Linked DNA regions of Tribolium castaneum. The protein of the gene in region 2 interacts with the protein of the main gene of each other region in a pairwise test. Links are inferred from orthologs where the notes say so. Each region holds a gene or a part of one and is shown on either strand. Other genes may lie near its edges.

What was found.
Region 1: the proteins of veli (region 2) and Egfr interact in a two-hybrid assay, tested with the Caenorhabditis elegans proteins (3 studies listed by BioGRID). The link is inferred for Tribolium castaneum from reciprocal best matches to the Caenorhabditis elegans genes lin-7 and let-23.

Annotation. Positions count from the first base shown.
Region 1 is NC_087394.1:3,686,528-3,690,355, reverse strand, and holds part of Egfr (epidermal growth factor receptor), read right to left. Parts: intron 1,139-3,828; coding exon 1-1,138. UniProt on the Caenorhabditis elegans protein: Tyrosine-protein kinase receptor which, upon binding ligand lin-3, activates 2 signaling cascades: the let-60/Ras and MAP kinase signaling pathway and the let-60-independent phospholipase C-mediated Ca(2+) signaling pathway.
Region 2 is NC_087394.1:2,339,853-2,343,054, forward strand, and holds veli (protein lin-7 homolog C), read right to left. Parts: upstream 1,835-3,202; 5' UTR 1,714-1,834; coding exon 1,677-1,713; intron 1,627-1,676; coding exon 1,226-1,626; intron 1,179-1,225; coding exon 1,023-1,178; 3' UTR 692-1,022; downstream 1-691. Other genes in the region: ADP,ATP carrier protein 1, read right to left, coding at 2,520-2,762.

The DNA.
Region 1 (3,828 bases), about 1.3 Mb from region 2:
GGCCCAAACGTCCGACTTGTGCGTGAAAATCCGGTGCTGGATGCACTCCAAGGCCAGCCATTTGATGGGCATTTTACCACCAGCTGCTTTGTACTCGTCTTCGTCCACATCGAGGAGCTTGGCAAGGCCGAAGTCGGTGATTTTGACACAGGAGTGGGTTTGGACTAGGACGTTGCGAGCGGCGAGGTCACGGTGGACTAGGCGTTTTTCCTCCAGGTATGCCATTCCTTTGGCGATTTGCGTGGACCAGTTGAGAAGGGCTTTAGCGCCGATGCGGTCGCGGTTTTTTCGGACGAAATCGAGCAAACAACCCAAAGGCATCAACTGGGTTATGAGCATGATCTCGGAAGTCATACAAACACCCAACAACTGAAGGAGATTAGGGTGTTCCACACTTGCCATAATAAACGCCTCGCTTAAAAATTCTTTGCTACTGGTTGATCCGTCCCGGAGGACTTTAATCGCGACTGGGATTTTCGAATTGTTCTCATCTTCCAAAATCCAGACCCCTTTATAGACAGTTCCGAAGGCGCCATACCCCAAAATATCCCCCCGCCTGATTTCCGTTTCCTTAATCGTGCGCAATTTTTTACAATTGGGCGAAACGTTCGTTTGTCGCAACGGTTCGTTGTCTTCGAGCCCAGTCAACGCCATGGTCATCTTCAAGGTGCTCTCTTCCGCCTTGACCTTCTTGCGAAAAAACCAAGTCACCAAAATTATGATTATGATGATGATGATGATCGCACTAGTGATTCCCGTGGCGATCACCACAGTGTAGTTATTGTCGACGAAACCAGAGATGGGCAAGTTCAAGGGTTTGTCGGAACAGTAGGAGAAGGCATTGTCGGGGAAAACCCGGTGTGGGAATTCAGGTGGGCATGAGGACACGCAGCGGAAGGAAGAGTTTTCGGAAACGTATCCGTCGTCGAAAACTTTAAAATTTTCGCAGGAAATACAGTTTTCGGGACCTGGACCAGTGCAGCCTTTACATTCAGGGTCGCAAGGTTTGCATTCTTGGACTTCTTCGTCTGCGTAGTCACCGGAACGACATTCGTCTTCGCATTGCTCGTCTTTCTTGTAGTGGGTGCATTTTTGGCAGACTAGTTCGTGGAAACCGAAGCCGGAACAGATCTTGCATCTACGAAAACAAAATCGACTCATAACTATTACATCAGTTTAGGACTTGAGTAGAAGGCAAAACGAGCTAAGCGCGATTGATTGACCCCAAAAAAATTCATAATAATGCATTACTAGAGTTCTTAAACCGTCTGTAAAGAACAAATTTTTGACGATATTTTCCGAACGGGGTAATCGTAGCGATTTGATTCTTGCAAATTTCGATTTCGCCGATCATTTTACGTTGGGAACACTTAATCCTAAAGAAAAAACTGCGAAAATTTTAAAAATAATGAAGAAAGTTTAATTTAGAGAAATTGTAACAAGACTAAATTTTTGACGATATTTTCCGAACGGTTAGTCGTAGTGATTTGATTCTTAAAAATTTCGATTCCGCCGGTCATTTTACGTTAGAAACACTTAATCATAAGGCAAAAACTCCAAAAATTTGACAAATAATGAAGAAAGTTTGGATTAGACAAATTGTGAGGAGACTAAATTTTTGACGATATTTTCCGAACGGTTAGTCGTAGCGACTTGATTCTTGTAAATTTCGATTCCACCGGTCATTTTACGTTAAAAACACTTACTCCAAAGAAAAAAACTCTAAAAATTTGAAAAATAATGAAGCAAGTTTGGTTTAGACAAATTGTGAGGAGACTAAATTTCTTGACGATATTTTCCGAACGGTTAGTCGCAGCGATTTGATTCTTGCAAATTTCGATTCCGCCGGTCATTTTACGTCAGGAACGCTTAATCCCCAGGAAAAAACTCCACAAATTTGAAAAATAATGAAGAAAGTTTGGATTAGACAAATTGTGAGGAGACTAAATTTTTGACGATATTTTCCGAACGGTTAGTCGTAGCGACTTGATTCTTGCAAATTTCGATTCCGTCGGTCATTTTACGTTGAAAACACTTAATCCTAAGGAAATAACTCCAAAAATTTGAAAAATAATGAAGAAAGTTTGGTTTAGACAAATTGTGAGAAGACTAAATTTTTGACGATATTTTCCGAACGGTTAGTCGTAGCGACTTGATTCTTGCAAATTTCGATTCCGCCGGTCATTTTACGTTGAAAACACTTAATCCTAAGGAAATAACTCCAAAAATTTGAAAAATAATGAAGAAAGTTTGGTTTAGATAAATTGTGAGAAGACTAAATTTTTGGCGATATTTTCCGAACGGTTAGTCGTAGCGACTTGATTCTTGCAAATTTCGATTCCGCCGGTCATTTTACGTTGAAAACACTTAATCCTAAGGAAATAACTCCAAAAATTTGAAAAATAATGAAGAAAGTTTGGTTTAGATAAATTGTGAGAAGACTAAATTTTTGGCGATATTTTCCGAACGGTTAGTCGTAGCGACTTGATTCTTGCAAATTTCGATTCCGCCGGTCATTTTACGTTGAAAACACTTAATCCTAAGAAAAAAACTCCGAAAATTTAAAAAATAACGAAGAAAGTTTGGTTTAGAGAAATTGTGAGGAAACTAAATTTTTGACGATATTTTCCGAACGGTTAGTCGCAGCGATTTAAATCTTGCAAATTTGGATTCTGGAGGTCATTTTACTTTAGAAACACTTAAACCTAAGGAAATAACTCCGAAAAATTAAAAAATTATTAAGAAAGTTTGGTTTAGACAAATCGTGAGAAGACTAAATTTTGGACGATATTTTCCGAACGGTTAGTCGTAGTGATTTGACTCTTAAAAATTTCGATTCCGCCGGTCCTTTTTCGTTAGAAACACTTAATCCTAAGGCAAAAACTCCAAAAATTTGAAAAATAAAGAAGAAAGTTTGGATTAGACAAATTGTGAGGAGACTAAATTTTTGACGATATTTTCCGAACGGTTAGTCGTAGTGACATGATTCTTGCAAATTTCGATTCCGCCGGTCATTTTACGTTAAAAACACTTACTCCTAAGAAAAAAACTCCGAAAATTTGAAAAATAATGTAGCAAGTTTGGTTTAGGTAAATTCTGAGGAGACTAAATTTTTGACGGTATTTTCCGAACGATTAGTCGCAGCAACTTGATTTTAGCAAATTTAGATTTCGCCGGTCATTTTTCGCTAGGAACACTTAATCCTAAGGATAACACTCCGAAAATTTTAAAAATAATGAAGAAAGTTTGGTTTAGACAAATTGTGAGGAGACTAAATTTTTGACGATATTTTCCGAACGGTTAGTCGTAGCGACTTGATGCTTGCAAATTTCGATTCCGCCGGTCATTTTACGGTGAAAACACTTAATCCTAAGGAAATAACTCCAAAAATTTGAAAAATAATGAAGAAAGTTTGGTTTAGACAAATTGTGAGGAGACTAAATTTTTGACGATATTTTTCGAACGGTTAGTCGTAGCGACTTGATTCTTGCAAATTTCGATTCCGCCGGTCATTTTACGTTGAAAACATTTAATCCTAAGAAAAAAACTCCGAAAATTTAAAAAATAACGAAGAAAGTTTGGTTTAGAGAAATTGTGAGGAGACTAAATTTTTGACGATATTTTCCGAACGGTTAGTCGCAGCGATTTGAATCTTGCAAACTTGGATTCTGGAGGTCATTTTACGTTAGAAACACTTAATCCTAAGGAAATAACTCCGAAAAATTAAAAAATTATTAAGAAAGTTTGGTTTAGACAAATCGTGAGAAGACTAAATTTTTGACGATATTTTCCGAACGGTTAGTCGTAGCGATTTGGTTCTTGCAAATT
Region 2 (3,202 bases):
AGAAAAGGACGCAAAGCAGGAATAGGCAACAGGAAGCGGTGGAATCGGGTCGTTATTGAGTGTCTTTGCACTTTTGGGCACTAATTGTTCACATAATTGGTCTTAGAACTTTGAACTTTTAGTTTAACACAGTCACAAGTCTAGGAAAACACGAAATCAGACAAATTAAAAAAATAGACAAAAACGAAGCCACCCATGACTTTTGGCGGCTACTCAGTGTTTTTCCAGCGTTGCCAATCTAGTCGCACACAAAAATCCCTAAAGGAAAGCCGCGAATTGTGAATACAATTTTTTTTATTCGAATCACCACAACTAACCAGTGTTGTGTTTAATATTTTAAGTGTAAGTAACAGAAGTCTCAATACCACATTCACTTTCAACGAAAATCCCTGATCCGTAGTTGTGGGCTTTGTAAGGTTCGACTTAAAAGGCTCAAAACCTTTTATTTCAATTAATTGTTGATACTCAACGTTTATCTCACGTATTAGCTGTTTCAAAACTATAAAAACGCCACCGGCGCATTGTTTATGCACTTCAAAAAATTGATGTCTAATGTAATTTATAGTTTCAATGAGAAAGTTAATCCTTAATAATTTTTTTAAATTTTTTATCAACCTTATTTAAAAAATAATTCGGTAAAATACAACGTTGGGAGTTACTTAATAAATTTTATTAAAAAACAAAGAAACCATTTTGTTTTTTGTAATTATTTATTTAATACAACATAAATAACAAAAAAAATGGAAACATGTAATACTTGGATTACTTGTCAATACACGGGTACTTGAGATTCAGTACTTCTAGAGACCAGTGCACATCGTGCTAACTATACAATCATTCCTTAAATGCAACACAATCTAATAATAATAATATGTAATACCATATTTCGGTTAAATGTCTGGTCAAAGTAGCCTATGACTTTGAAATTTGGGTTTCTAACTTTGACTATCAAATTCAAACTACTAATAATTCAGTGTGGCCAACTTAATTTCTTTGTCATAGGCTACTCTGTCTAGTTATTTTTAATTGTACTGCTGCCGTCTTCTCGCCCTCTGTTTGTCGAACCTTAACTCCATCTCCTCCAAGACTTTGGGGGTGTACCTCACCACTAATTTGACAGAGCCATGGGCCTGTTTTAACAACTCCACTGCCTTTTCATGGTTTTCTCCTTCAACAGACTACCCCACAATTATTAATATTTACCCCTTTATCAAACCTCACTCACCACTCCATTGACACTCAATAACTGATCCCCTCGCTTCAGCCCCCCGTGCCGATCCGCCACACCCCCCGGAATAATCCTAGAAATATAAATGGGGGAATTCTGCTCCTTTCCCCCCATCACATTAAACCCTAAACCCTCCTCAGTCTTTGGCAGTTCCACGACTCTGGGGTGTGCATGTCCCTCACTGGCTGCGAAAGCTGCAACTGTGGCCTTAGCAGTGGCAGAGGCTCGCACGTCTTGAGACCCTTGAATATCAACAGTTTCGTAAACGTGCTCGTAGACCTCGCGCACTGCATTCAGAAAGTCGCTCTGGAGGACTTTCTGAAGGGCCGCGAGTTTAGTAGCCGGGACTTCGCCACTTTTCTGGAGCTTCTCCAAAAGCTCAACGGAACGCTTAATGTCTATGACAAACGTTGGAAAATTGCGTAAAATTAAGTAAAAATGTGATTACCTCGGTGGAGGGTCAATGGTTCGCCGATTTGGGCCATTTTTGCAAAATTGGGGCCAATCCTTTTGTTTGACAGGTAAATGACAGCTACGTTGGTACTAAACCAAAAACGTCAGATGTCCCTACATTTGTGCCTTCTGGCACTTGAAATTGATAAAACTTTTTATTGAAGGGATTCTTAAACTAAATCCAGAAAGAAGGATTTAGCAGGCAAATGAATAAGGCCGATTTAGCCAATTTATAAAAGCCACCCCTTTGAAATATTTTGGTTGGTATTAACTGTTACTCGCTTTGTTAGAGCAACAATAAAAGTCCCTAGATAATTTTAAATTTTGTAAAATGCTAACGGACGCTATTCATTTTAAATTTGCCTAAAAAAATGGGTCTGCGTGAGAAAAACTTGAGTGATTACGAGTGTCTTTATTGCCGAATTTACACAAATCAAGCTCATTTACAAGACAACTTTTTTACATTGTTTTGCGGTCAACGAAATGCATTCGACAACTGAATAAAACCACGTGACCTCAACTATATTAACAACTTTATTACGTCTCACACTACCAACAATAACGAAAAAAAACAATAATAAAGTAACTTATCACAACTGTTTATTGGTAAACGGCTGTTAAAATATACAGGATTTAAAATACAGGGCTATCAATACTTCAGCTTACAATGCCATTATTAAAACCGTGTAACGAAAAAAAATTGCTGGAATGTAAATTCCTGCGCCTGATAGTGTTAAAAAAAGGAATGTCGGCCTAAAAAATGCATCAACCACGGAATGAAACAAATAAATTATGAGACAATTAATAATTTAAACCGTAATAATTCTACTATTTCTGTTTAGAGCAAAGCTTTAAGCTCGTCGTATAGTACAAGAACCAAAGCTCCGCCAGTGCCACGGAGAACGTTAGAGAACGCTCCTTTGAAGAAGGCAGTTGGGCCTTCGGTTTTGCCGATCTTGATCCAGCAATCCAACGTATTCTTGTACATAATATCAGCTTTAGCGCGTCCAGACTGCATCATCATACGCCTTCTGACGGTGTCGAATGGATATGACGTAATTCCAGAAACTGTCGTTACGCACTGGCAAGAAAAACGTCATCAATACACACATCAAACAAATCACTAACAACTGATAGTCAATCAATGACATCAGTTAATGGGTAGTGGTAAACTAGAGTCATCAAAGTAGGCTCAGTTTTGTGTAACACATCATGTGTAATAACTTCAAGGACAAATTCATTCAATTCTTATAGGAACAGACGATCTAATCTTATCGCAATTGTTTATGGTGCAAAAAAACTGTTACAATATAGTTCTGAACTCTATTACACAAAGGTCAATTGTGATAAGAGTTATCTCGTCGCACGTCCACAATTGGAAGCAGATAAGAGAGGAATGTTACGACACTATTTCGTAACGAGGGATACCTTACTATTTCAGGATATAGGTCTTCGGATCAATTGCTTTCACTTTTTCAGCTTCAGCAACTGGAAATAACAACAAATCAAAGGTTAGGTGTG